Struthio camelus: one gene and its partners. The protein of the gene in region 1 purifies or fractionates together with the protein of each later gene. This does not show direct contact. Links are inferred from orthologs where the notes say so. Each region holds a gene or a part of one and is shown on either strand. Other genes may lie near its edges.

Region 1 (7,586 bases):
GGCCAGAGAACTTCAGGTAAAAACGAAGTTCTAGGGAGGCAGCCAAATCCCCACCAGTCAGTAAAGATATGGGCTGGGCAGCATCCTACCTCAGGAAGTGGGAAGATGTCCATGAGCTTCTTGAGCAAGAAGTCACTGTAGGAATAGTAAGCAGCCATGTCCCGGCGCAGCAATGCAAGGTACTCCTGTCGCGTGCGTCCTTCCTCTCGCTTCACCCCAAAGTCCTGCAGCACCTCCATGTTGCTCTTGATGCGCTGGTGAATGATGTGCAGGTCAGGCGGCTCAGCAGGTAGAAGGACCATTAAGAATTGTAAACGACCAAGGAATTCACACGCAGGCCCTTCAAAAGCACAGCCAGTCATGCAAAACTCCTGAGTCACTGCATACAGCACCTGCACCAGAAAGGCCTTACTGGAGTGTGCACATCTACCATGTATCGTTTGCTACGCTTTCACTGGAGTTAGGCAGAAGGGAGATTCAAAGGATAGCAACCAGATAAGGAAGCGCACAAGGCAGGGAAAATAAGGTATTTGCAAAAATTCGGTTTGGTTAGTCTAGAAAAGCAGAAAAGGGGTGGGAAGAAGACACGTGGAAAAGGCTTTTCAATACTGAAAACATTTCCTGTAACGCAAAGGAGACTAAAAGTTCTCCAGAAGCAATTAGAGAGAGTAGAGAAGAAAGAGGTGAAAAAGATCACTTAAGCCCAAGAACACGCGCTTTGGATGCTGGAATTGCTGTCATCAGAGGCTCTAAGAATGAGTTAGACAAACACATACCCAGGAATCCAGGTAGAAGGGAATTAACTATGCGATAGACACCCACATGCATTTAGGACTGGAAAAAAAGATTGAGGGCAAGGTCCAGGCTCCATACAGGGAATAACAGGTTCCCTGACCGTGCTGTACAGAGGTGTAGAACCACATAGCTACCACTATCTGTTAGGGCAATTCAACTAAAAACGGCTTGTCAGGCACCAACGCTCATAATAAAATGTAAATGAAGCTCTACAGTTGCACTCAAGCTCTGTAGTGGCACAGCTACGTGGTTTACAGAGGCCACAGATGAAAAGGATATTCTCTCTCTCAATCTGTTCATCAGTTGGCAATTTGAACTGCTCATCTACATCCAGATTGAGCTGCAGATCCGCACTCTCTTCTTCCTTCTGCTCCTTCTTCTGCCTGCCTGCCTCTTCTGCCACCTCTTCCTCTTCACTGTCATCTTCACTAAGGCCTCCCCTAGGTATAAAAAAAATATAGTTTTTTTACACAATAGCAGGACTCCTCAGACACTTTACAACTATCATCTCTTGGATGACAGAAGAACGAACAACCCAGGCTCCTCGTGTTCCAACCAGGAAAGACTGTGCTGACCCCTGACGCTCTCAAATCCTCACCTATCAGATTTCTGCTTCAGGGCGGCTTTTTCAATGGGCAGCAACTAAACAGAGAGACAAAATATTAATGAAACAGTATCAGCTAGTATCAACTACCCCTTTAATCTGTGCCATCTCTATGAAATATACCTGCTCTGTTTAAAAAGAACAACAGATGAAGGCATTGAGTGTTCTGCTGAGACCAGTTGCTAACTTAAAATTCCCTTCTTGTGAAGGGAAGAAGGATAAAGCTGTTCTCCACCTCGCCATCCAGCCTTCCAGTAAAGTTACCCTTTCCCCACCAGGGCTGCTGGGTCCTTACAGCCAGCAAAGCCAAGTTTCTTCTGCAAAATCGAGGGCAAAAAGCTCATACCTCTTCTTCCTCAGAGGAAGAGGCACCATAATCATCGACCATCTCCTCGCTGCTCCCATCCTCCTCCATCTCCCAGGTGCCCTCTTCCACCTCATCATCACTGGATGACTCCACGTTGTTGTCTTCAGACTGGATTTTCTTGGCTTTGGCTGGAGTCAGCCATTTTGAATTGCCATCGCTGAAGCCAGACTGGCAACGATGGGGTTGCGCTACTACCTTTTTGGGGTGTTTCTCCTTCGATGGGGATACCTGCTCCTTAACTGCAGGCAGAATAAGCAGTTAAGTTAGGCAGTATTTTATATGACAGCTCTCCCAGTTTTTGACTTGTTATGCAAAGCAGCCTCCTTCACTCTAGCCCGGAGCTGCTTGTCTAAGAGAAGAGACTGCTCCCCATACTGGTTTGCTCAAGCACAAAGATCCCCCCCCAACCAAACCCGAAAAAGAAACGACTAGAATTGCCAAAGAAAAATACAGCTACTAAGTCTTTTTAGTGCCTGTCCTGACATACCGCAGCAGCCCTATTTCTCAAATCTGTGTTTATCCCTTCTTCCCGCCGTGAGAGCTTACTCGGACGCACGTGATTTAACGCAGCACGCTTAAAAGCCTCAGCGCCCCAAGGTGCTTACGATACCCACGACGCGAGCGGAATAAAAGGCAGAAAGAGGCTAACGCACAGAAGAGGGGGGCTTTTTACCGATTTCTCCTTTGCTAAAGGCGCTCCCCGCTGCATCGGAGAGCAGGTGGTGGAACTCAGTGGAAAGACTGGCTTGAAGCGGGGCAGCCCGCCGGGGCCCCGCACTCACCTCCGGGCTCCCGCCCCCCGCGCCGCTCCTCGCCCGCCGCCCGCCGCCTCTTCGCAGCCCTGCAGCGGGAGGGGAAGCGGCCGTCAGCGGCGCCCGGCCCCGAGCCAGCCCCGCGCCCTCCCCCGCCGCCGCCCTCACCTCCTGCGCCCGTGGCTGGACAGCTTCCTCCGGCCGGGCTCTGCCTCTGCGGGAGGGAGAAGCGCCGTTAGGTCGGCGGCCCCGGGACGGCGCTGCCCGGGCGCCCCCAGGCCGGGCCGGGCTCACCTGGCGGCAGGAAGCGGGCCAGCTCCACCTCGGCCCCGCGCTGCTTGCGGGCCTTGCGCCCAGGGCCGCGCTTCTCCTTCCGCGCGGGGTCCAGCTTCCGCCCCATGGCGGCGCGGCCGCGGGTGGCGCAGCCGGCTCCGCGCTCCCCCGCCGCCGCCGCACGTGCCGCCCTGCCCCCACCCGGCCCCGGCCGCGCACGCGCCGAGCCGCGGCTCCGCCCCCTGCCCCGGGGCGGGCAGCCCAGCTCATTGGTTGGTCACCGCTTCCGCCGCTCGCCGAGTGGCTGAGCGCCGGCCCAGCCTGTGACGGCAGCGGCCCCCGGCCCCGCCCCCGCGCGTGGCGTGGCCCGGGCTCGGCCGGGCGCAGGCGCCGCCCGCGGCCGGGAGCGGCAGAGGTATGCGGGCTGCAAGCGTCAGGGGAACGGTAGACGGTTCAAGCTTCACCAGGCGTAGGCTTTAGGTTGTAATGACAAAGACCCAAGTGAAATTCTAGGAAATGACTAAAGCGTCAGGCAACAGCAAGAGGGGTCAGTGCCAATGCAAGAAAGGTGTAGCATACTAGAAGCCCTGCTTTTTACAGGGCAACAGGACAAGAGCAGCAGTAGTTTGCTGATAATAATACAGGGAGAGGGAGTGAGCCAGCTGGTCACTCTTGGTCATCTAGCATTCTCCAGAAAAGCTAAATTAGAGGCAATAAAATAAAATACAAGGAAACTTTATTTTTCAGTCCTATCAAGATTTTCCTTTTTTTTTTTTTTCTCTCCTTCCTTCAAGCTGCTTATTAGTGGACAAGTCCAGTCAGTTTTTGTATTAAAAAGGATTTTGATGGAGGTAGCTTTGTCTCTGTCCTGGCTTTTGCTTGGTCTCACCTGTGCACTCATCTCAGTAAACAAACTCAAAATAAAATTAAAAACAAAAACTGGAATTCCAGGCCGAGGCAGCGAGCAACACAGCCAGGTTCTCCATGTAACAGACAGGGCGCTGTGGCCTCCAGTCACTATATACAGAGTCCATCATACATCCCCCTCTCTCCTAAGCACACTCTTTCCTCCAACAGCTGGCTGCAGAAGGAGTTCCTTCTCCCAGAGACCTGTAGAGCAGCTTCCATGGAGGGAAACAGCACCCAGTCAGGAATGTCAGGCAGAGGGGTAGAGTGTGAAGGGGTGGGTCACTTCAGCTTGGCCAAAAGGTCAACAGCACTGGGCCAGGGACTCATTGCTGCTGGGCCACCTGTAGGGCAAAAGACAATGCCATCTGAGACACAATACTCGTCAATATACCCTAGCTCACGAGGGCAGCTCCCTACAGAGCCCCTACTCCTCCATACAATAGACAAGCCAGGCAGGGCTGCTCACTCAGAGAGAGTACTTACTTGCTGGGGAGGTGGTGGTGGAGGGGGTTCACTGCTGCGGTTGGCTAGTCGGCTGAGGATGTTGCGCTCTGACATCTGGAGGCGCACTGCCACAGGTGGGATACGGGCAATGGTGGCAGGCAAACGAGTCACATCTGCCTTCATATCACTCAAAAGCTCCTCCAGCTGCTTCAGAACTGGAAGAAAAAGAGGCTTGGGTTCAAAGAGAGAAATTGCCCCTGCCTGGGGAAGAGGCCAAAGGGGACAGCAATACTAAACAAATATCCACCCTTGCTTAACACGCTATCACCTTTGTGCAGCACAGCATTCGCCGGTTTATTCCCAGCCATTGACTCCTTGGATAGGTGCTGGTGGCTCTCAGCCAGGCATTCCACCTCTGCAAAACGTGTATTCAGAGCCATAGAAGGGTGAGATGGGTCTTCCGACATGTTCAGATAGGCAGCTCGCCGCAGCTGCTCCTCAATCACCAGTGCTTGCTCCAGGAGCTGCAACAGACAGGGTAAGTAGTAAAGTCTTCCAGCATTTGCCTGAAAAGCAGGCTATTTGCACCCTTCACTTGCTGCCTCCTGTTCCAGTTCCCCACTCTCATGAGGTGAGATTCGGCAGGTAAACCTCATTTCCCAGGCTTCTGCTTATATTGGCATAAAGGCTAAATATTACAAAACAAAGGCTCCATTAAGCTAAGCCAGGTAAGAAAAACAGGGCATGTCCTAGCCCATTTAATAACAAAAATAAGCAAGTCTTCCAGGATTCTTACTCCTCTGCTTACATGACTGATTCTTAAAGGCTTTTCAAAATACAGCAGAAATTTTTTTTTTTTTTTTAAAAACTCTTTCTGTACAGGGCAATGGGGATGGAGCTTTCTTCTTGAACTGAAGTATCCCGAACTACTTACAGTAAGAGTCTAAAAATTGTTAAGCATGCCAGACAGGGACATTTGAAGATATCAGATTAGACGGTGCAAAGCAGATAAGCCAAACTACACTGAATCTCAGGGCAAAATATTCATTCAGAATTACACGGGTTGCTCCCAAATCACCTCCAGAATGAAACTATGGTCACTCACAAGTACTTTAGGCAGAGACTGAAGGCAGCCCTTTCACCAATCCAATGTTATACAATGTTTCCAAGTTCTACTTAGGCATATTGAGTGGGCTGTAGCACACCAAGCAGAAGCTGTGGTGGAAACAGACACTAACACCTCCTGAATGCCAGTTGCTGAAGAAACATTTAGAGAGCGCTGAACCAAGCTCCCCAACATGCTGCTTCTAGGGTAAAGTGCTCCTATCATGAAGCTACCATAGGATCCTAACAAATATTGCTCTTTTTAGCCATCAACACAAAAGATTGCAAAAGCCTTCATCTAAGTGGAAAATCAGAACACCGAGCTCAACAGGACAGTTTGTCTTGCTCTCAGGGGTCCAGCTGGCTGAAAGACTTGTCACACTGAGCAGAGAGCCTTACCTTAAATCTCCTTGCCAAGAACTTGTTCTTTATTTCCAGGAAGTTGCCCCTGTTCATCTCACCCTTGAAGGGTTCATTGAGGATGGCGTAACGTGGATCATTCTGAATATCTTGCCAACGGGCATAGCCATGACTGAGATGGGATGAGCTCAGGCAAACAAAGGCAGTGAGAACAAGGGAATGCACAGCCCAGGCAGATACAGTTCTTAAGAGGGGTGGGGAAAGGAGGTGCAGAGAAGAGGGGAAACAAGGGCAAAGGAAAAGCAGTAAGAGCAGCATCCTGCTCACCAAGTCTTAACTGTGCTGACAGAAAACCCCTCCTCCCACCAAGCCAGGACTCTTGTGAAAGATAAAGTGCGCTCTCACTTAACGTGTCCCAGGCAGACCCAAAGGGGTTGCCTCTTCACAATGAGGGCTTATTCTGAAGGGGAGACAGCTCGTCTGTCAGGGTAAGGATACTTGATAATCCCAGCAAGGAGCCAGTAGTCATGACGCCGATGCCAGATCTCATAGGTCTTCTTTGTAACAGTCGCAGCCCGCTCTTCATTCTGCCACAGGGAGTGTAATTCTGGAAAGGCAAGAAGAGTTCCAAGTTATTATTTCACCAAGACAAGCAGAGGCAGGTAAATAAGTTCAAGCACATACAGGTCTCATACCAGTAAAGCCACCATCAGCTATGTTGAACATGAAGCGCTGCTTTACTGCCTTCTTGTGCCTTTCATCTACTGACTCTTTCAGCATCTCTCCATTCTGCAGCATCACCACGTCTCTCTTATCATCATCCCTTTTCTCTTCTGTACACATAGGAAACAATTAGGAAGGATATGGCAGATACCACAGCAAGTTGGACCCACAAGGAACCCTTGCTGGAGAGGGGATAAAGAAAAGAATGGAATCATCATAGCTCACCTTTCTCATCCAGAGTGATTATAGGAGGTTCAGGGGGTGGCTCAACAGATGCTCTGTCTTCCACTTTCTCCACATCAGCTACAGAAAAGGAGGGGAACATGAGATGTAGCTGGCAAGTCCAAGAATTCAGCCTGTGAAACCTAACACTTCCCTGCCTCCCTGCTCAAAGCCCTGAAATAGCCCCCTTGATTATCTACACATGCCTGTTTCTTTAGGGTGAAGTATTGAGGCAGGGAAGAGTAGCTTGAAGATACTACTTGTGATTTTTTTTTTTTTTTTTTTAATTGCTGTTAAGGGTCTTAGCCTTCCTAGAGATACCTTTGCTTTCCACTTCCATGGGCTCATCTGGTCTTTCCTTCACTTCTGGTTCCTCTAATTTTTTTTCATCTGCCTCTGCAGGGTTCACTGGAGATTTTGCTTCCTGCGGTGGTGTCTCCACAGGCTGAGCACACTGCTTAGGACAGAAATCATCAATGAGAAGAGAAGCAAAGCAGCATATGGTCAAAGCCAGTGAACTACTTCAGCACTATCAACAGAAGACAGTCAAAGCAGTTTGGAAAGTGTCTTACAAAGCAGACCAAGGGGAAGATACACAAAACTGTCAGGCCAGTTCTTCTAAGGACCTGAGAGTTAGCTTTCAGTGTTGTCCTAGGCAGAACTCAGCTCTGCCACAGAAGCTTTATTACACAGTAAAGTAAGGCAGAAGTAGAGATATTTGGAATTGCATGAGACAAACAAGCAACTGAGCACTCACCTCCATAGGAACCTCTGTTTCAGTAGCAGAGGCATTGAGCTCTTTCTCTGGTTCAGTTGCCTCTCCTTGCTCCTTGGTGTTTGCTCCTTCTTCTACCTTTATTCCCTCTTCTGTGTATTCCCCACCCCAGAGCAGCACGGCGCACAAGAGAAGGAGAGAAGCCATCAGTAAAGTCTTCCCCTCACTGTAACCAAGCACACATCTCCTTCACTCCCAGAGATTAGGCCCATCCAAATGGGACCAACATCACTCAAGAGGAAACCCCTTTCCTGCCCA
Region 2 (6,900 bases), about 52 Mb from region 1:
ACTGCTGGTCTACGGCACTTGCTAGCAGCAATTTCCTCAACTTTCATGATCTGAATAGAGTGAGCACGGGCACGATGACGGGCTCCCATATCACGATCTGTAACAACCGAACTCATTAAAAATAAATCCTAAAATGACTTAAGACATTCCCAGTTCAAAATTTTAATACCATCTTTTTGTGTCCACCACTTTCCAAATTTTCAGGCAACTCCGCATATCAGAAAGAGTATTATTAGTCAGTGATGTCTGAAGCACTGACCGGAGAATCAACATGCAGCAGCAGCAGCTTCTTCCTGGAACGTATGACCAAGCTTCTACGTGAACGTCATTTTATTCTTGCCCGATTTCAAGAAGGTACACATTTACAGAAGTAATCTACTCAGGGACTTGTTATGTTTTGCAAAAGAAAATGGTGATTCAGAATCAATACTGAAATATCATTACAGGAAAAATAAGAACTGAATTTCAACAAACGCTCCCTTCGCCTTCCAAGAGGCAGATGCAAGGAAAGAGAACTGCAGTTCCTAGCTTTGTTTTTTTAATCACTACCTTAAAACCACAACGTCAATAGCTATTTTGCACATAAGACATGGCTAGCTAAATATTCTTGAGCTTACAGTACTTCCTGTGAAGATGCAAAACACCCATTAAAAACCTATCCTTCAAAAGCAGTCTGGAGCATAAAGGTATCAAAGTCATTACGTAATGACAAATTAAGTAGGTTCTCAGACCTCTTAAGTAGTCCTACAGTATGTTAATTAAAAGAACGTATTATAAGTTACATGTAGAACCTTAAATTTCACTTTCAATAGCACTTCAGCTGTTGAAAGGCGACAAGATACATATAATATTTGCACACATGACAAGAACATCATTACTGGGAACAATATTCTTTGGGTTTTTGTGTGCATTTTACAGTGTTTTGAACACTGAATTCAAATGTCAACAGCCTCAGCTATAAAAATGATCTCTCTCTCAACTCCTTTAGATAACAGACTAAAAATCAGAGCAACCCGTGATGCTCTCTGAACTGAGACTACTAGATCTTTGAGCAATGCAAATTAGGGAAAAAACAGTGTTTAGGAAACCTAGCTCTCCAGAAGCCAGATCCTAGTATGTTCCACATAGTATCAGCAATAATCTTTTCAAAAGACTTGGAAAAATATTTTTGATTATTTTTAACAGTAAGTATAATACAAGAAATATATACAGCCCCTAACAGTCTCAAAACTCTTCACCTATATAGCAAAATTGATGATTAGAACTGTAAAGAGTCACACCGAGATCAAGTGGGAATATTTTCAGCTACAGAAATTGCCTAAGGAGTGCTAACGAACAAAATACTACATACATTATACCTACACATCTATGGGTTTCTCCAGCAGCTTCCCACCACTTTATTTTTCCAGTGTTTAAGCTACCTTATCATGGATCAAGTCAGCACTCCTACTTAAGCTTTACGACCAGTTTAGGATTTAAACTTTTGCTCGTAAACCGGTCCTAACATTTTATCTCAAATGGTTATATGTACTTACAGCACTGAGTGACAGCACCAGCTGTGGTCAAATCCCTGTACTCCCTGTACATGTTGTGAGTTCCACTACGAGAATCATAGCGTAGCCAAATACCAAAGTTTTTTACCCGCAGAGGGGACTTCTCATATACCTGGAATTACACAAGGGCACAGAAATGGTTAGAGACAGTACATTATCAGCATTTTACAAGTTTAGGAATAAACATGTTACAGCTGTAATGTAAAGCAATACAGATAGCTTTAATGTCCAAGACAACTATTTGCTCTCTTTCCCCATACCATCATAGTACAGGGAAGTCTCTGGTAATTCAATGTGGAAATGAAAAAATACATTTAGATTTCAGCTGTTAAATCATCTTTGAAGGAAACGGAAAAGAACGTTCTCCAAGCAACAAAATGTGAGAGTATATGCAAGCAAGTATCTATTTTCCAAAGATTATGAAGGTCCAGATGGTTCCTAAGAGATATATGCCATAATGAAGCAACCATAAAAAACAGACAACAGCACTACCTGCAGTAGTGATCTATTTTAGCAGAATTCTGAATGTTGTGAATTTAAGTTTTTTAGTTCATTTGACACATGCAATCACTTGCAGGGGGCTGCCCAGCTTCACAGTAGCTGAAGGTAAAAAAGAGTTCGACTTCATTAGTAACAGTATTTCATCTAAATGCCTTCTACGTAAACGAGCCAGAATTCCTGAAAAGCCTCCAAGAGTGTCAGGTTTTTCTATGTCGTACCTGGCCACAGTACACAATCTCTCCAGAAGACTTCTTCATCTTCTTCAGCTGGGAAACGAAATACCAGAACCGGGATTTGGCGACAACATGGTTGGGGGCGAAGATCCGCATCCGGTAGAGAGGCGGAGTCCGGCATTTCGGCGTGGGCAGGCAGCGCCCGACCACCTTGTACTCCCGCAGCTGCAGGGGGACGAGAGACAGCGCCGCAGTGAACCTCCTGCTCGCCGCCCGCCACAGCGCCGCGACGGAGCGACCCCCGCGCCGGCCCACTCTGCCCCCCGCAAGGCGCCGCGCCTCCGCCCGAGAACGCAGCCGCGGGAGCAAGGGGGGACCGCCGAGGATAGAGGCCACCGGCTCCCGCTAAGAGGAGCGGAGCGGAACCGCCCGCCCGGGCCGCGATCCCCGGCCAGAGGCGCCGCGGCCTCCTCACACGCCGGCTAGGAGCGGCGCCGCCGCCATGTTGGCTGCTCGCCTCCGGGCCGGGCCGCGGCCCCCGGAGGCCCTGCTCCAGCGCCGCAAGGCCTCGCCACCGCGCTCCCGACAGCCGCCGCGACCCCACCAGCGGCGCGCCCGGGCCGCGGGGCCTCACTCACGGTGCCCGACGCCTTCATGGTGCTGCCTCCTCGGCGGCCCCCAGAAAAGGAAAGAGCTAACGCGCAGGAGCGTCCCTCCACCCGCCCGCGGGAGGCCCCGCCCCCGCGGCACCCTCTCCGCCCATTGGCTGCGGGCAGAGCGTGATTGGGCGAGGCAGCCGTCAGTCTGCGCGAGCGGCCGCCCGGCGCTGCTTCCGGGGCGAGCCGGGGGGCCCGCGTGGCCGGAGAGGCGGCGGCGGCGGCGGCGGGAGGTCGCCGGGCCCGCGGGGCCTCGTCCTTCCCTTCCCCCTTCCCCCACCCCCGCGCAGCCCTGCGGCCCTCTCGCCTTGTCAGGGCGGCCGCGGGTGCGCGCGGCTCTCGGCGCGTGGGCTTGCCCCGTTGCCGTGCCCCGCGCAGGGCCGCCCCGTGCCCTTCGGCACTGCTGGATTTTTGGTGGCGATGACTTTTTTGGCGGATCCGTCGCCCGGTTTGGCACGAACACGTGTTGCGCGTGTCCGCGTCCGAGGCGGGCAGGTGACTCACGTCCTGCCTCCCCCCGTGCTGCCGTCGTGAGAGGCAGGGGAGGCAGCAGGTCACGGCGCCCAGAGGTGGCCCTTGGCCGGCGATCCCGTGAGAGAATGAGGTTGCAAGCTGCAGTGAATGTGAATTCCCTAACAGCGCTACAATCTTATATTTTTATGATGTTTTAGTATGGTATCGTTTACCATATTTTATGGTTTGTTTTTGACGTGGTATCTTTTCCCTATAGTTTTTCCTGAATGGTTGTACTCCTGTGTACTGTTAATTAGAAATGGCTCTGCAGTAACGATGGGTAAGGGTCTCTCCTTAAATGTTGTGTGGGCTATGGTTTTGAAAATTGTCCTTCCATAGCTTTGGAACTTTTCTTTTTTCTTGAAAGAGACTATTAACAATACAAACTGCTCTGGCGAGGCAAATAATTTCCTAAATGCTTATTACTGCACTTCTTTTGTGTTTGTTCTTTTAAGTCTCATTTTACAAACATGCACCCGTTTAATCATGCTAAAACACTCCTAAATTTGATGGTGGCACAAAAATTTGCAGAAAAGAGACCAATGTGACATTAGTAGCAGTCAGATCCGTTGCATTCTTCGTCTGCTTAAAGATGAGTGTGTGCTGGTGCTTTTGTAGGATGGGAGCTTAGGCCCTTTTTGTGCCAGTTATTGAACGAGTTATTCTGGTCAGAATTAGGATGCTAACATCATTTCAAAGGAATATGTTGTGTCTTAGCTTAACATGCAGTGACATGACCAGCTACTAATACTTTCAGCTTTATTGCTGATGACATACAAAGGAGGGAGAACGAAACAAAACTTCAAGATCTAGAGTGAGCTTCTGGATGGAGCAGATGAGTCTTGATTTACGATTAAGCGACTTTACAGCCACACGCAGGACTATCTCGTAGCTATCTGTTAAAACTTCATCTTTAACGACTAGCGGGTAAAGCGTGTTTTAGGGGAAAAAATACATTTTTGATAGATACACGGTGCCTCTTGGGTGCGCATAAAATACTTCCACCTTGCACCTGCCCGCCTCGCCGATGGCATCCTGCCTAGCCAAAGCGGTGGGTGAAGCTGGCGCCACGCTGCCTTCGTGCCTGCCTGAGCGTAATTAGCAGCCATTAGCAGCCGCTGCCCGCGCTTCGGGCGGGCCGGGCCGCCTCCGCCCCTGCTTTCCCGAGGGGCCCCGCGGCGGGGCGGGGCGGGGCGGGGCCGCCGCGCGGCCAGGGAGGCGGTATAACCCGGCATGCTCTGCGGCCCGCAGCCGGGTGGCAGAGGGGAGGTGAGTGCGGAAAGCTTCGTCGCTGCCTTGTCGGGTGGCTGGCCCCTCCTTTTCGCGCAGGCGCGGAGGGGGGGCCGCAGAGCACGCCGGGAGTTGTAGTCCGACGGCGTGGCTAGCCGCCCCGCTGCTGGCGGGCGGGCTCAAAGGGTGGGGGCGTTTTTCTTTCCCGGGGCGGCCGTTTCGCACGCGCGAGGGCGGCGGCGGCGCCTCCCCTCGGGCCGCCTCCGCCTCCTCCTTCTCTCGCCGCCAACCGAGGCGGCGCGGCCTGGCCCGCTCCCTATGCTCGTGGCGGCCTCGGAGCTGCGGGGGTCGGAGCCGGCAGCGCCGCCGTGATGGCGGAGTGACCGGGAAGGTAACGGCCGGGGTGGGGGGCGCGCGGTGAGGGGGTGACTCAGCCCGGCGCGGGGGGGCGGGCAGGGCGGTGGCGCCGCCGCTTGCCTGGCTGGCGCCGGGCTCTCCCGAGCCGCCCTACCGGTTCGCCTCCGCCCGACGCCGCCGCCGCAGCCGTTAGGGAAGCGGGGAGGGGGGCGCCGCAGCCTTGCCTGGCTGCCCGACCCCCCCGCCCCGGGCCTGCCGCATCGCTGTGAGGCGGCCAGGGCTGGGGGTGGGGGGGTGGGGGGGCTGGTTCTTCTCAAAAATACCAGGCTTTTTCTTTTCTACTTAAGCTTTAGCTTACAGGGCTCTTGCACGCACGCTGGTGCGGAAGCTGTCTCGGTCGGTGTCCTGCTTCTTATACCTGTGGTGAGGGAGAAAGTGGCCGTAAGCTGTTAAACTGCAGCGTGAGGGGAGGGCCCTGCCCACGTACCTGCCTGCTCAGCTGCTCTCAGCACGCTGAAAGGCAGCGGCGTGCGCGGCCGCCCAGCGCTGCAGCGGCGGCACGCCGTAGGAGGAGTGCTTTGTCACTCTGCCGTGACCCCAGGAAGGGATTGAAGAGGTTTAAGTTACAGCTCTGGTGTCTTCGCTGCGGAGCTGGAAGCCGTGGGATGTGCGTGCCCGATCATCTCCGCTGGCTGAGCTTTTGAGCCCTTCGGAGATTTGGCTCTTCTAAAGAACAATTTGAGGGAGCAAGAAGACTTGAGTCCTCGCAGAGAATTTCTGGCCAGTAAGAGTATGCCTGAAATCAAGACCTAATCTGTTACTCCCCAAAGGAAGAACTTTCTAGTCCAGTTTAAAAGTTTGATAAGTAACCATTACAGAGATGTTCCTTTTAAGTATGCTTTGTATACGTAATTGTAAAGGTTTCAGATCCTAAGAGGATGTAAATATATTCAAGACTTGTGGCAAGCTTCAAAAGAATGCAAGAGATGATCTTTTACTTTATTTATTTTACTAGGGAGAAAATTTAAGGGAATCAAAATGAAGTATGTAGCTGGCTTCCTGTGTGCTATCAGAATGTTCTATATGACTAAAACAGTGCTGTAAATGAGATTCTTTAAATACTAATTGTTCTAACCATTAACATCTATAGTCAAAATGCTGTGAAAGCTTTCATTGTTAAGGCATGTCTACATACCCCTGACCGTGTTAGTATTTTTGCAATAGCAGTACTTCCTACTTGAAGTGTGACCACTTTCGTTGTACCTTCCTCTTGGGAGGGGAGGGGGAATATTTTTTTGAAGTTCAATTCATATTTTTCCTGTCATGATAATTCGGTATGGATTCTGAATCACCATTTTCTTGTGCAAAATATAAAATAGTCCCTGAGTAGATTACTTCTATGAATGTGTACCTTCTTGGAGTCCAGGCAAGTATAAAATGCTGCTTTCATATAGAAGTTTGGTCGTGAGTTCCAGGAAGAAGCTGCTGCAGCTTTTTCCTGTAAGCGGTCTCTGCCCTTTTAAGTATTTGATACTTGAAAGGGAATAGACTGTGTTAGTGAGAGGAATGTATACCTGTATGACCTTGCTGTAAAGGACCGTGCTCTGCTACTTGTAGTAAGATCAGATCACTACTAAACATAGTGTACCAGTTTAAAAACAAAGAGCAAAACAACTCCGCATAAATGAGACTTCATACTTTCTACACAGCTATATATTAATTCTTAATGTTACTTAATGTTAGTTGAAGCTATTTTTAAATAAAGCTTGTTTTTTTTTTAATTGAGTTATGGTATTTGAAGTGATCTTCTGAGATGGCTGTTTCGTTAACTATCTTCTAGAGTTGACTAGCCAACTGAAACTCTTAGAACAGAGCATGTGGTGGAAGATCAAACTTTAAATGCGCTTATGTAGCGTA
Region 3 (6,936 bases), on another chromosome or scaffold:
CTGTTTACTCTTAAGCTTCTGTCGAATCTTTTTAGGAGGTTAAAAAAAACAAAATGAGTCAGTAATGCAAAGGAAAATATGAGTACTTTATGATGGCTGTGCAACCCTCTTACAACAAAACTACTACCAAATCCCACTTACTACCCATGATAAATTAGTTCAATTACATAGAGTTTAAAATCACTAAGAATCAAAATACACCGAGCATAAATGAAGAGTGAGACTTAAACTGGGAAAAGAGATCACACGTTAATGCCACAGTTGACTGCAAATCTTAGGGCAAAGAGCACAAACACAGCTGACTTTACAAGCACTCTCACATACATGGAGAAAAAGTATTTTTAGTATTAGTTACACTTAGGAGAGACTACAAATTACACTCTTCTACCTTATTTTCCAGCCTGTTACGGAAACACCCCCGTTCCAAAGGGATACTTAAACAACCACAGAACAAATTCCAAACGCAAACATTGTCACAGGCCTTTGCCACAGACATGAAGGTAATTATTAAGTGAACACAATCAAACCTCAAAGTTAGTTACCCAACACAAGCTAAAACCAATCTATAACACAGGAAAGAAAATAATCATTTAAACCACATACCTTCTGCATCTGTTGGTCAGATTTGGCCATCTCTGCAAAATAATCATCTGGCCTTCTAGTAGGAACCTGGAGCTTACGCAACCTTGGTAGGGCATCCAGGACTGCGGCCTGAGCCTGTCGGTAACTAGAAAGACAACGCAACACCAGCTGAACGTCGCTGAGTAGCAAGAATATCTCACAACAGTGACAGAAATTCTGATCATATCAGCTAGTTGATACTAGATAAATATTTGTTATATCCCAGAGTTATAGCAACATTCTGTACCCTACCGCACCACTACTACTAAAAGCAATTTAGGTGCCAATACAATGTTAACATTGATAGCTTGCACTTACAGTTTATCCAGTTTTCAATTACAGTTTTACACACTGTATTGTACCAGGAGGGGAGAGGAGAAATTGAGAGAGAGAGAGAGAGAGAGAGAGAGAGAGAGAAAACTGCCATAACACATTCATGCAGAAAAATTCATATCCATAGTGCTGCAGCACAGGAACTTTTTAAAGAAAATCTCCAACAAATGATGAAGAGTTTGCTGCAAGGAAGGGAATTTTTTCCCATCACAAGACAAGTGAAACATAAAAGCATCCATTTGTAGTTATTTTGCCAAAAATTCAGCACTATCAAATATAAAATACTTGCATAACCTACAGTGTTTTTGGACCCACATTCTAGTATCCTTGAAATTAAGGCATCTTGAATGATATTGTTACATAGGTTGCTCAAGAATTCCTACAACAAACAACTGCAGCTTCAATCCAAGACCACTGAGCAGGTTAGAAAACACTCTAGAAATCTAGGAGCCTAAATATTTAATATTATATGACTATTTAATATTAATGAAGTAGTTTTCTAGTTAAATTTTGGCAAGATAAAACTACTTTAATTTTTAATTTTATTTTATTTAATTAAAAATTAGCCTTTTTAATTAAAAATTAGCATTCTTACTTTTAAGTGATACAGTAAAGCCGAGTTGCTGAAAACAAAGAGGTGAGATTTCAAGCTTCAGTGTTTCACTCAAATTGTCACACACACAATGCATCAGTGCTACAAAGCATGCTGTGGCACACAACACAGAGCAGAAGCGACAAGATACCAGCGACAGCCAGTACAGCAGCCTGCAGGATACTGTGAAACATGACAGTGAAGCAATACCAGAACTGCGTACAGGCAAGGGATTCCGAGCTTGTAGTAGTATGCTGAAACCCTACAAGAAATCTCTTTTTTTTTTACGCTTACAAGCTCATCTCTCTCTGGAAGTCATTCTCAGGGTCAACAGCATCTTTGTCAGAAGCACTGTGTGAGACTGGACCTGTGACATCTGTTACTGGACCCAAAGTCACATCCAGCCTTTCCACCCAAGCTAGCTGCCGCTTGAATTCAGAGAGGCACAGCTTCAAACCATCCTACGAAAAGGAAGCACAGCTCTCAATATCAAGGCACAAAACAAACTTTTCAAGGTTGGCACAAATGAACACCCAGGCCACAAAATGGGCTAGTCCTCAACGGCAGTAGGGTTGTACCCCAAATTATCACAGCAATGCTGGTTGGAAGGCACTCTGGAGACTATATAGTCCAAATCCCACTTGAAGCAGGACCAAAACCAACAGCAGATTGGGTCAACTTTGGCTTTATCCATCCAAGTCTTGCAGGCTTCCAAGGATGGAGATTACAACACACTCCTGAGTAACTCTTTGAAGCCCTGCACCATTTCCAGGTGCAGAATTCTGTCCTAACACCCAACCTGAACTTCCCAAGCCACAAGGTGCGACCCCCATGCCCTCCCGCACGCCCTGCTGCAAACAAGGGACACTTGGCTCCCTCGACTCTGTAGCTGCGCTTCACGTAACTCCAGCTGCGGCCACCTCGCCCAGCCAGGGCAGCCCGGCTCTCGCCGGGCCGGGGCCGGGGCCCGGCCACCTCGGCCCCCCGGCCCCGGCCGCCCCCCGACTCGCTCTGCCCCCTCCCCACCGCGGCGCTGCGCCCAACGCCCCCCGCCAGGGGAAGCAGGCCCCGGCCCGGCCCCACCCCCGGGCGCCCCGCCGAGGCCCCGGGCCGCTCACCACGTCGTTGGGCGCCCGCGGCCGCCCCTCCAGCACCACGTTGAGCCCCGGCTTCAGGGCGCCCCTCGAAAACGCCTCCTGGAGCTGCGGGGAGGAGAGCAGTCAGACGCCGCCGCCGCCGGGTCCCCCCCGGCCGGCGCTGCCCCGCGCCCTCGCGGCGGCGCTGCCCGCCCGCGGGTCACCTCCGAGTCCGAGAGAGCGGAGCCCTCCGACGCCGAGTCCGAGTCCCACGCCGCGTCCGAGAGCGAGCCGCGCCGCGCCATCATGCCGCCGCCGCCCCCCACCACGCGGAGCCGCCGCCGCTTCCGGCCGCGCGCGCGCACGCCGCCGCTTCCGGCGGGGCCGGGGCCGGGGCCGCGGTTGCCGTGGCGACGGCGGCGGCGGCGGCGGCGGCGGCGGCGGCGGCAGCATGTCGGTGGTGGTGGCGCAGCCCGTGGCCATCTTCGGCTGCCGCTCGCAGGTCGCCGGCGGCCTCTGCTTCTTCGACGAGCAGATCCTGCTGTACGCGGCGGGGGCCAACTGCGTCCAGTTCCACATCGAGCAGAAGTGGCAGAAGTTCATCCCAGGTGGCCCCGGCCCCGGCCCCGGCCCTGCCGCCGGCCGGGCCCTGCCGCCGCCCTGACCCCTCTCCTCCCCGCAGGCTCCGAGAAGAGCCAGGGCATGCAGGCGATGGCCATCAGCCCCAACCGGCGGTACCTGGCCATCTCGGAGACGGTGGCGGAGCAGCCGGCCGTGACGGTGCACGAGGTGTCGTTGGTGCCGTCGCGGCGGCGGAGGACGCTGGCCGCCGCCGCCGCCGAGCTCCCGGTGCAGGAGTTCGTGTCCCTGGCCTTCTCCCCCGACTCCCGCTACCTGGCGGCCGCCACCGGCCCCCCCGAGGTGCACCTCGCCTACTGGCTCTGGGAGAAGCAGCGGCTGATGGCGGCCATCCGCATCAAGGCCCCGGACGGCAGCCTCTGCCAGGTAACGGCTGCGGCCCTCGCATCGGGGCGCTGCCAGGCCCGGGGCCTCTTCCCAGCTTCCCCCCGTCCGCTCTGGGAGACAGGGGATGCACGCAAGTCTGTTTTTAAAACCGAGTCGCTGCAATGCTGGGCTGTTCTGGAAGGGTTTCCGCCACTCATTCATAATCTTGTGATTCACAGATGACTGATTCTTTTGGCAGTTGGCCCAAGGGAGCCTTTTGCACCATTTCAAAATGGAGGGGAAAAAAGTTGAAATTTCAGATTAAGAAGTACCACATGCCAGGTAGCAGCACTCAAAAATTGTCATGATACAGATAAAAGACAACCTAGAGAAAGAATAAGGGCTTACTACAGATACCACAACCAGCTCAGAGTTGCCACGAGCGCAAGGACGAGAGCACTTGACCTATAAAGAGGGGCTGAGGGAGCTGGGGGTGGGGGTTGCCTAGAAAAGGCTAATTGCTATCACCAGCTTCCCAGTGGGGGAATTGTAAAGAAGACGGAGACAGGTTGCTCACAGATATGCACAGCAAAATAATTAGAGGCAATGGTCACAAGCTGCTTAACCGAGAAATTCCTTCCTGGATATCAAGGCAGAAAAAAATCACAGTGAGGGTGGTGGAGCACTTGAAAACAGCCCAGAGAGATGTACTGTCTCTGTCCTTGGAGATACTCACAACTTGACTGGACGCGGCTCTGAGTGGCCTGATCCAGTAAGACCTCCTCTGAGGTGAGAGTTGGACCAGATGACGTCCAGAGGTCCCTTCTACCCTAAATTACTCTAGGCTTTTGGGATTCTAAAAAGGGGAGCTAGAACAGCCACAAATTAGCACTCTAAAAATGAACAAAGTTTCTTGTAGACAACAAATCAGCCAAGAGAATTGAGATCAACAGCCCCTTAAATATTCCACTATAACATGTGGAAATTACATCAGTCTGAAGAATAAGTGCAAAGTGTATTATTCTGTCACCAGTCAGAGTATCCTTCAAGCTTCTAAAGATTTGGAAGATAATTTCTAACTAAAAAACAACTCAGCTAAGTCCTATGTCCGGTCTCATTCTGACAGATAAGCATAATATAATTACTGACCTAGAAACTGGTATTTGTTTAGATCAAGGGGTCCTGAGTTTTCCCGTTGTCATTTAGCTTCTTTCTAGGGCCTGAGAGGGAGGAGAGGGATCTGCACTGTAGATTATGTACAGTTTCCATAGCCTTTCTTGGCATCTGCTATTGGCCTTTCTCAGCAATAGGATGCTGAGCTAAATGGATTTTTGCATTGACCCGTTATGGACGTCCACGTTCCTAAATCACACGAGATCTGTGGTATGTGGGCTGTACAGCTGATCCGCGTATATGCAGTTTGTTTGTTGTGTCCCTGCAGGAACACCCATTAAATATATTGGCCATGCTCAGTAGGCCTAACACATCACAGAATCACAGAATGGTTGAGGTACAACTACAAGCAGAGATTGGGTGAAATACTAACTTCATGAGCTCCATTCCTGCAGAGGAGAAAATGACTAGGAAAAATGACTAGGAGAAAATGAAGAGGAGATCACTGCTGTCTAAAGTCCCATTAAGCATGAAAACCTAGGTCTCTCTACCCCTGCTATCTTTTCATATTAGATGTTGAGACGGCTGCTCCTCTGTTTTCACCAATAAACACCTAATTATGCAAATTAATATGTGTAATGGATAAGAGTTGCCTCTCCTGAGATACAGAAATTCCATGTGGCCTTTAAGAATGAATAGCCTGCAACCTGAGAAACTTGCTGGTCAGCTGGAAAGATGTATTTTGGCCTTACTTCTGTCATTTGATCCCAAGGGCAGAATCTACTTCCTCTTCCATACTACATTGTGATTCAGATGGCCTCATCTGGCTTCTTACCTTAATAGAATTTATTTATAACATTCTGTGTAAAATTGGTACACTTAGTTTGGAAAAGAAGAAAACTACAGTATGTAGTAATGGTGGTTATTTCTTAGTCTCTTTTGTCTCTTTCTGTGAACCTTTTTTCCTAGCTTGTCTTCCTGTTTCTGATATCTGAAGTCTTTGGAACAGGTGTTATATTTGCTTATTTGCTTTTAAAGCTCTGAGAGTGTACATAGTCGAATGAAATAATTTCTCTCTCCTCTGTTCCACAGGTGAGCTTCAGTCCTCAAGACAATGCACAGGTTTGTATCACTGGAAATGGCATTTTTAAACTTTTTAGATGTAGTGAAGGAACTTTGAAGGCAACGAATTTACAAAAGGGAGAGCCGCAAAACTACCTATGCCATGCCTGGCTGTCTGCGGAGAAGGTTGTATGTGGCACTGACACAGGCAAACTTATCATATTTGAAAGTGGAGAGGTGCGCTGGGAGACAAGTGTTGAGTACAAAATACCACCCAGGGAAGCAGAAGAAGATGCAACAACAAAAGAACCTGGGAGGTAAGTCTTTGCGGCCATTACTAGTAGATTCATGCTTGTGCATGAAAATTACTTGCAGGTCTTTCATTTATTTCCTTTTTGTCCATTTTATGAATTGGTTATAATATTTTGGTTGCTGCTGATATGAATTTTTGTTTTGCTTTGTCCTTTTTTATTCCTCTTAAGTCTTACTGCATTTCCTGCTTACGATTCTTCTGATATCTCTTGTGATCTGCTCTCTGATGATAATGGCTCACAGCAGGATTCTTTGCCTCAAATACGTGCAGTTGCAGCTTATTCCAAAGGCTTTGCATGTTCATCTAGCCCGGGGGTTGTTCTTCTGTTTGAGAAGACTGAGGAAAAGGAAGTCTACAAGGAGAGTCAGGAAATCTGGGTAGGTGACTGTCTATGAAGGGGGGAGAAAAGCTTTTCCAAACGGTTACGCACCTGAGGCCTCTTCCTTTTTGCTTCTGATTCAGTTATCAATAATAAATTTTAGCACATCTTTAAAGCACACTATAAGCATTAGCTAACTGTCCTAGTGGTGCGGAAACAAAGTGACCTGTCAGAGGTCTCGCTGAAAGTCAATGACAGTTGACCTTTTGCAAGGTAGCTCTGCATGTTCCCACATGAGAAATGGGCTTTGAGTTAGCTGAACTTCAGGAAACCTTTAAGGATTTTTTCTTTTTCTGTTGAGCAGAACATCAGTTCTGAAGGACTGGGCTGCTTGTTTTTTTCCAGGGCAAAGCTTATTTCCCCTCAAATCCTTTTTATTATAACTGTAATGACACTTATGCACTCTTAACAGATTAAGTAATCTAGCACGATTTCTAACTGTTCTATAGAGAGAGCATTTACTTACTGAATTGCCTGGATGAGATCACTTAACTCTGTGATG
Region 4 (7,264 bases), about 75 Mb from region 1:
TTCTTCGAAGCACATTGTTGCCAGCAACAATGGAAGTTGCTCTGTAAAGCTATGACTCAACAGACAAGGGTCTTCCTACAAGCTACAGGGAAAAAAAAAAAGCTTTGGATTCAAAACTGTGAAACAAGATCTTATGTTGTAGAACTTCCGCTCCTTAAATCAACATTTTCATTTGCAACTACTGCATATTTAACGTGCATCACAGATGATATACAGTTCTATAACATACTAGCATATGCTGTAGCAGTTGGATTTAAAGCAAGGCTGGAAACAGCAGAAAAAAAGGGCTACTTCTGCTGAGGTTATTTTCTAAAATAATGTCCAATACTAGTTTTGGCCCACAAAGTAAAGCTATTTAACCATATGCAAGGAGATGTAAAATTTTGAAAGAGTTACCCAAGAAGTATAAAAAGGTCTAGATAGCATAAAAGGGGGTTGAAGAGAAAAGAATAATATGTAGTAGCAAAGAAACGATGGCGCCATTGTCTACGGCAGCAAAACCACTGTTTCCCGAGGGCAACTGAACAGATTGGGCCATTGCATCTGGAAATGCCGACTCAGTATGGCAAAAAGCCAGCTACTGACTGTGCACCCTGACTTAACAGTAGCCAGTTTCTTCAGCAAACTGGAAGAGAATACCAGTTTTGTGTCTGTTAAAGCAAACTTCTAACGACCTCATTCAGCAAGACATCCCAAGGCAACCCTGGTTAGAAACATATCGAACACTCTATCATATAACTGAAACAGTAAGGTATTAATAATCTTGTGGTTAAGATTCAACTGAAAGCTACAAATACAATTCAGAATCTAGAGTTATAATAAAATCTGAGATTTTTCTGTTTTCAAAGTGGCTAAACACATCCACGCAATATTACAAACTGACTTTCTGAAGGCTTTTGGAAACAATGGAACTAATCTAATCATACTGTGCATCTTGTATGCAAAATTTGTTTCCTTCACAATAGTAACAAATTCATATAACTGAAAGCACAACTGAAAGCACAACAAAGCTTTCATACAACACTGGAGGAAACAGCAGTAGCAGGCAGGGTGTGGATGAAAGTTAACTGTCAAAATCTGATGACGACCACCATAGAATTTCATTTCATCCTATATTATTTTTACATACCTCAAGGGGGGGGGGGGAATCTTATTACCAAAAAAAAAAAAAAAACCCCACACAGGACAGAGGGAGAGGAGTGCTTTTATTTCTTTCTACAGAAATCAAAAAGAAGAAAAAATCACCCCTGGAATAATTTATTGTGACACATAACAACATCTTTACCCCATCACCTATAAATACACATCTGTCCATCATGTCCAGCTTCCTAGATTTAAGACTGGCAGACTAAGAAGACAGCGAGATGAGGAACATCTGTGGAACAAATCTCCCTGTCAGAGTAAAGTAGTCAGACTAGATCCCCAAGGTACAAAAACAAAGACAAGAGTCTAGATGAGGTATCATGGCAATAAAGTCTCACTGAACAGAACACAGTAAAAGTTAATGAAGGAAAAACACATAATCCTGTGAGAACAAAAAGTAAAGCAAGTCCAAGGCCACAGTGTCCTAATAAGGACTCCTAGGAAAACGCAGTTCAAGCATGAGCATACAGAGACGGGAAAACAAACGTTTCAGTGAAAATGGCTATTGTGAGAATGAGAAAAAACGAACAGGACAGTGACAAGATGATGAAGCGTTACCAGGAAAAAAAGAGGAAAAAACAGACAGTTATTAGAAGTCAGTTTCTGCAAGCCGGAAGAGATTTTAAAAAGACATGAAGTCACAGAGGGCAGGAGCGCTCACAGGAGAAAGAGCTTCACCTAGAAGAAGCACTAGCGGAAGAATTCCCAGGCAGTGAGATACATGTGGAAACAGGAAATAATCTCAAAGCACCAAGTAGAAAGTGTAGAACAGGAACGGTATATAGGGCTGTTAGGGGGATAACTAAGAAAAGGATTGTCTATAGACAGGACGATACCAGTAAAGCAAGAGAGAAATCACAGAACAAAAAGCACCACGAGAGAAGGAAGACCGCTAGGGCGAGAGAAGTCCAGGGGCAGTTTGAAAGGGACACGAGAGGTGATGGCGACAAAGACCAAGCCTGTGCACATCCCCGAACAAACGCAGGTTTCTCAGAAGCCCTAGGAGAAAAGTATCGCAGCGCTCTTGGGAAGAGGACACAGGAGTGCCTCAGAGCAGGTTTCCCTCGGGGCAGGAAGGCAGGTCTGTGCCAGCAGGGCGAGCCAGGGAGGCCTTCCCCGAGGGGGCCGAGCCGGGTGTCCCGCACACCCGACGGCGGGGGGGGCGGGGGGGGGGCGGCGCGCGGCGGCGCGGGGGGAGGGGTAACGGCCACAGGGCTTCTGTGGAGACGGAGCGGGGGGAGGGGGCGGCTCCGCCGGGAGAGCTGCCGCCTGTCTCGGCGGGGGGAACCAGCCGGGGGGGCGGTGGGGGGGGAAGCAAAACCTGAGAGACGTTACCGGGAAAGGGAGCGGGCGGGCAAAAAACGGGAGGGAAAGAAACCGCCGCCGGCGGGAGAAGCGTGAGCGGCGCGTGTCCCGCGGAGGGGGGGGGGGTGGGCTCGCCCCGCGGCGGCGGCGAGACAGGGATCCTAGCCGGGGGGGGGGGGCGGACAACGTTAACGGCGGCCGAGGGGAAGGCTCCGTCTGGGGAGGAGCGGGCGGGCGCTGAGCGGGTGGGGGAGGCTCCGTCCCGCCGGGTCCGGGCTCTCCGTACTCACTTTTTGTGCGGCGGCGGGTGCTTGTCCCTCCTGCCGGCCGCCGCGGGCTGCTTGGGCCGCCGCCTGCGGGCCTGCAGGGCCAGCACTGCGGGGAGAAGAGAAGGAGGAGAGCGCGGGGTTAGCGGCCGGCGCGCTGCGCTGCGCTGCGCTGCGCTGCCCTCCCCTCGCTCCCGCCCCGCGGGACCCGCCGGCCGGCCCGGTACCTTTGCGCGAGCTCATCGCCTCGCGCCGCGCCGCGCGCTCCTCCGCGCGCGCACCGCTCGCCCCGCCCCTCCCGCCGCGCCGCGTCCGCGCGCCGCCACCGCGCGCCAGCCGCGTCCGCGCGCCGGGCACCGGCCGGCAAAGCGGCGGCACCTCCCCCCCGCAAACCCTTCCCCGACCGGCTACTGCGCAGGCGCAGCTCTGCCGGCGGGGCCGCGGCCGGAAGGGCGGGGGCGGGGCGGCGGCAGGTGGCGGCGCGGGCCCGGCGGGAGCGCACCTGGCGGCCCGCAGCGCCCCCCGCCGCCGCCGCCGCCCCCCCCCCTTTCTGAGCGGGCGGGGCAGGTCGGTGCCGGGCCTGGGGCCGCCGGTGAACCCGCGGGCCCCGGGGCGCCTCTTGGCTGGCGCCCGGCGAGGACGAGGACCCGAGGCCTTTACCTGGCGTGACCGGCCCTTAACTTGGAACCTGTTGGGCTCCGTCGCGTCTCACCAAGCGATTCTGCAAGCAGTTCGCTGGGGGCTTATTTATGTAAAATACTACTCCCCTGTGTATTAAAATATATATATATATGTATATATTATATATACATATATATATATATATACAGAAAAGGGGGATGCATTCAAGCACGGGGTGATGACGCTCTTCCCCTTGGTCAGCCCAGCCTGCCGCCTCTGCCTGGGCTGTGCTGTTGCCCGAGGAGTGCAAGTGCTTTCCGCAGGAGAACGGCGCCCGGCGCTCAACTCCTCCTCGTACAAGAGCTTCTTCCCGCTCTTAACCTGGCTTTCCCACGCAATGAGAGTTATGCTGCCAGTTCCTGCTGAATAGCTGTCAAAGCCCCTAGCTGATTTCAATCCCGTTTGATAAGGTTTTCAAAGAAATTGTCTTCTTGGAGATTTTAGGAAATAGAGGACCTGATAAAGGGAAAAGATACTACTCGTACTTGCAGAGCAGGTACTCACACCTTGTACGTAAGGTTATACCGCTACCCACGGGGACATTCTTGCTCTCCCATCAACTGCTCTGCTTTTGCCCCTTACGTGGGCCCAGGCCCCTCACCGGGGTATCTGTGCGGTGAGTTCTACCACTTCAGTGAACCAAATGAAAACTAATTCTGCCAACCCCAAAAAATACTAGTTTGCAATTGGGATAGCAAGCTGATCCCCCCTCCCTCCCCCATTGCTGCGTAATTGCTCAGAGTGGACAAAAGAGAAGGAGAAAAGCCTAGTGGGAGCGGAAGTGTCGATCTGCCCTTTTGGCAGCCGCCTGAAGCTGGATCAGCTTTAGCTTATCACGAAACTGTAGGGTTACATGCCAGAACCAATTACCCTCATGACATAAAGCCAGAGAAATTAGATGTCCTTAATTCTGGTTCTAAGTTCGTTGATTGGCATCACTGACAGTTATTTAACTCTACTTTTTTTTTTTTCTCTCTGCAGATCGTAACAGAAATACAGTGTCTTGCTGCTCATGATACCAGGTTCTATTCAGATTTGGCCTAGTCATGACCTGTTGAAAATTGCCACTTCTTATTTGTGCTTTGCATTGCATAGCTACATTTGAATAGTGTTAGGATTTGGAGATTTTGTGTAGTCTATAAATTCTGCTTGATGCAGAAGATGATCTGGGCCATACTGAAAACTCCAGTCGTCTAGCTTCTCCTTTATCTCCGTGTAAGACTGGAATTCAAAGGCATAATGACAGAAAGGTAACAGTGGGCAGTTATTACATTTTGATGGCACACCTTCCTCCCTAAATGCCAAGAGAAAGAATCCACAAGGATGAAGATCTCAGAGGAGATGTGGTCAAGGTATGATGAGTGAAGGTAACGGGCAGCGATCACTAGTCTTATGTAATTGGATCATAAAGGTTTCAGCTAGACAGAATAATTGAATCCCTGGCTGCAGTCAGTTCAGCTTAGTAACAGGACAGGAACAGAAAGATAGCATCCATTCCTTCCTAGCAGGTTCCATATAAAGCCAGACAACTCAGACATACCACAATATATAATACTTTCTGTCCGACTGGAGAGCCTAACAGACAGAAAACAATAGGACCACAAAGCTCCTAAGCTACAACTGTCATGATGCACCACAGCTGCATTTCTAAATCAAAACAGTTTTTGTTTTGCATCCTCCATCATAGAAGATCACAGGAAAAAAAACATTTCCAGTAGAATCTATTATTGTGTAACATGTAATGTTAGCATGCTGCATGTCTCCCTTTCTGTGGTTAGTCCAGTTCAATATGATAGCACAGCAATGTAGTCAGTCCGATAGATCAGGCAACAGAAGGCTGTACTGAAATTGCGAAGGCTTTCTGCTCAGAAAATGTAGATGCATGAAAATTAATAGTATTTGAATGTTGAAAAGCAGATTACATATCTCCCCTTTTTGTCCAGGCTATTTTTAGCTTCATTGGTTCATTGTGCTGCTGCACAAATACTTGTGCCTCTATAGAAGATGCTAGAAACAAGCAGCGGTTGGTGGAGAAAATGGTGAGACTACTTTTTTCTTTTTCAGTGGCAGTGTTGGCTGAAAGCGATCTTGTAGCCATGGCTATGGAGTGGAAATCGTATCAGGGTCCCGAACGTCTTTTCAGCTACTCATGTGTAATTCTATTTACTTCAATAGGAGATTTGTATGTAGAACTGATTGGACAATTAGGTCTTAGATAACATCAGTGAGCTTTGCTTACGTCAACAGGGTTATAAATTTGCCAAATCTGGAGTCAGGAAGGAATTTCCCTCACAGGCAACATAATGTCAGCAACCTAATCAGGGTGAGGGAACAATCTGCTAGCGCCGAGGGAAGGAATTACGTTAGGATCAGGTGGGTGTATTCCACACAGTCAATATCTTTCCATTCCAATGGACATATATTTCTGGACTGTATTCTTCCTGCTTTTTCTTTTTTTTCAGAAGAGCCTCTTAGACGATGCTCACACAGAAGTGCAAAAAACTCACTGAGACTCCATATGTACGTATAGAGGCTTACCATGTGCAGTTAACTAAACTGGAGAGTAAATTAAGGTTAGTAGAAGCTAAACATATTTTGAAAACCAGGAAACTGTATTTCTCAGACTCTGAGAGTGTGGCTTATGCATATTCCTGGCTTATGCATATTCCAGAGGACCCAAGCAGGGAGTGAAAGTTCAGGGTCAAATATTTAATGGAATAATGTGAGGTATGTTAAACCACCTCATTTTATAGATTTGTGTATTTTTTCAGATTCATATTTCTTTAAAAATATGCTGTAATTCCCTTTGAGCTTGCAATTTGTGAAGCAATTCGAAAGAGAATGAAAGACTCAGGTTTTTGTCTTAATTATGAAAACCTTAGTAAAGGTACTTTCAGCGAAGGCAAACAAGCTGCTCACATGAATAAGGTTAATGTGATAAAGTATTCACTGGATCAGTCTACGTTTGACAAAAATAAAGAAGGGAGACTAAAGGGAAGGGACTCCATTTCAAAAAATACAGAGAGTGGTCATTAAGAATAAACGTACCCTGCATTATATCTATTCGAATTCACTCATTTCAGTGGAGTTCTCCATTCTTATTTCATTATGTCTTATTATATATATTATATATATACTTAACTGTTTCAAAAATCAACAATGAGTCAAGAGAGAGGATATCCTGAATAGTGAAAGAAGGCTTTTATAAATAAACAATATAAATTAAAGACAATGGACTGGGACAGAATGTATTTGGGTCTGGCTGTCTCTCCCTGAACATAATATTGGAACAGGTGCCTGTTTAATTATAAGGATTACCATAGAGCTCATTCACTCCGGGGAAGGGCACGGTGAGGTTTAGTCATATGACTGCCCCAACAGGAGGAACAACAGCAGCAGCAGCAGCAGCAGCAGCAGGTATAGATGATCTTCGGTACAAATATTAGGGGGGAGGCAGGAGAAAATGTCAAATTATGAGATTATATTTTTACCTGTTTATAATGTAGTTTGAACCAGACATTTGATACCTGCTAGATGTGTGCTTCGTTTCCTTTTCACCTAACTTTAAAACACTTCACTTATACAAAGAGGCATTCAATTTTCAGACATGAGTGAAATACATTTGTACAGAATAAAAAAATAACCTAGCAGCAATCCTATAAATATCATATTGTCTGCTTTCTGAGAATAATACAAAACTCTTCCTTGAGCAGAGAGATGTTAGAAGCTGCTGCCCTGGAGTTCTGATTTATGTACCAGTTCATTTCAGCATTACTTTTCCCAGTGTGTGGTGGCACGCTCCCTGAACTGCACTTTCTTAGAAATCAGGATATTGGCCAATTTCATGCTGCTCTCGCACAGAATGGAAA

What was found.
Region 2: the proteins of NOP2 (region 1) and RPL18A purify together in Homo sapiens (affinity purification with mass spectrometry; 3 studies listed by BioGRID and IntAct, counting the BioPlex papers as one, with this or other methods). This does not show direct contact. The link is inferred for Struthio camelus from reciprocal best matches to the Homo sapiens genes NOP2 and RPL18A.
Region 3: the proteins of NOP2 (region 1) and EBNA1BP2 fractionate together in Homo sapiens (co-fractionation; 3 studies listed by BioGRID and IntAct, with this or other methods). This does not show direct contact. The link is inferred for Struthio camelus from reciprocal best matches to the Homo sapiens genes NOP2 and EBNA1BP2.
Region 4: the proteins of NOP2 (region 1) and SRPK2 purify together in Homo sapiens (affinity purification with mass spectrometry; 3 studies listed by BioGRID and IntAct, with this or other methods). This does not show direct contact. The link is inferred for Struthio camelus from reciprocal best matches to the Homo sapiens genes NOP2 and SRPK2.

Annotation. Positions count from the first base shown.
Region 1 is NC_090942.1:90,919,236-90,926,821, reverse strand, and holds the start of NOP2 (28S rRNA (cytosine(4447)-C(5))-methyltransferase), read right to left. Parts: upstream 3,005-7,586; 5' UTR 2,919-3,004; coding exon 2,813-2,918; intron 2,733-2,812; coding exon 2,687-2,732; intron 2,608-2,686; coding exon 2,549-2,607; intron 2,006-2,548; coding exon 1,746-2,005; intron 1,438-1,745; coding exon 1,394-1,437; intron 1,236-1,393; coding exon 1,075-1,235; intron 290-1,074; coding exon 90-289; intron 1-89. Other genes in the region: CHD4 (chromodomain-helicase-DNA-binding protein 4), read right to left, coding at 4,024-4,041, 4,184-4,359, 4,473-4,668, 5,648-5,780, 6,107-6,215, 6,304-6,441, 6,557-6,634, 6,875-7,007 and 1 more. UniProt on the Homo sapiens protein: S-adenosyl-L-methionine-dependent methyltransferase that specifically methylates the C(5) position of cytosine 4447 in 28S rRNA. Required for efficient rRNA processing and 60S ribosomal subunit biogenesis.
Region 2 is NC_090942.1:38,551,954-38,558,853, forward strand, and holds the start of RPL18A (large ribosomal subunit protein eL20), read right to left. Parts: upstream 3,006-6,900; 5' UTR 2,884-3,005; coding exon 2,866-2,883; intron 2,453-2,865; coding exon 2,273-2,452; intron 1,666-2,272; coding exon 1,536-1,665; intron 913-1,535; exon of another isoform or gene 781-912; intron 98-780; coding exon 1-97.
Region 3 is NC_090949.1:25,306,426-25,313,361, forward strand, and holds the start of EBNA1BP2 (probable rRNA-processing protein EBP2), read right to left. Parts: upstream 3,009-6,936; 5' UTR 2,931-3,008; coding exon 2,847-2,930; intron 2,749-2,846; coding exon 2,665-2,748; intron 2,008-2,664; coding exon 1,841-2,007; intron 728-1,840; coding exon 604-727; intron 28-603; coding exon 1-27. Other genes in the region: CFAP57 (cilia- and flagella-associated protein 57), read left to right, coding at 3,074-3,230, 3,305-3,627, 5,773-6,059, 6,225-6,432. UniProt on the Homo sapiens protein: Required for the processing of the 27S pre-rRNA.
Region 4 is NC_090942.1:15,421,517-15,428,780, forward strand, and holds the start of SRPK2 (SRSF protein kinase 2), read right to left. Parts: upstream 3,013-7,264; 5' UTR 2,958-3,012; coding exon of another isoform or gene 2,942-2,957; intron 2,824-2,941; coding exon of another isoform or gene 2,739-2,823; intron 2,225-2,738; exon of another isoform or gene 1,253-2,224; intron 1-1,252. UniProt on the Homo sapiens protein: Serine/arginine-rich protein-specific kinase which specifically phosphorylates its substrates at serine residues located in regions rich in arginine/serine dipeptides, known as RS domains and is involved in the phosphorylation of SR splicing factors and the regulation of splicing.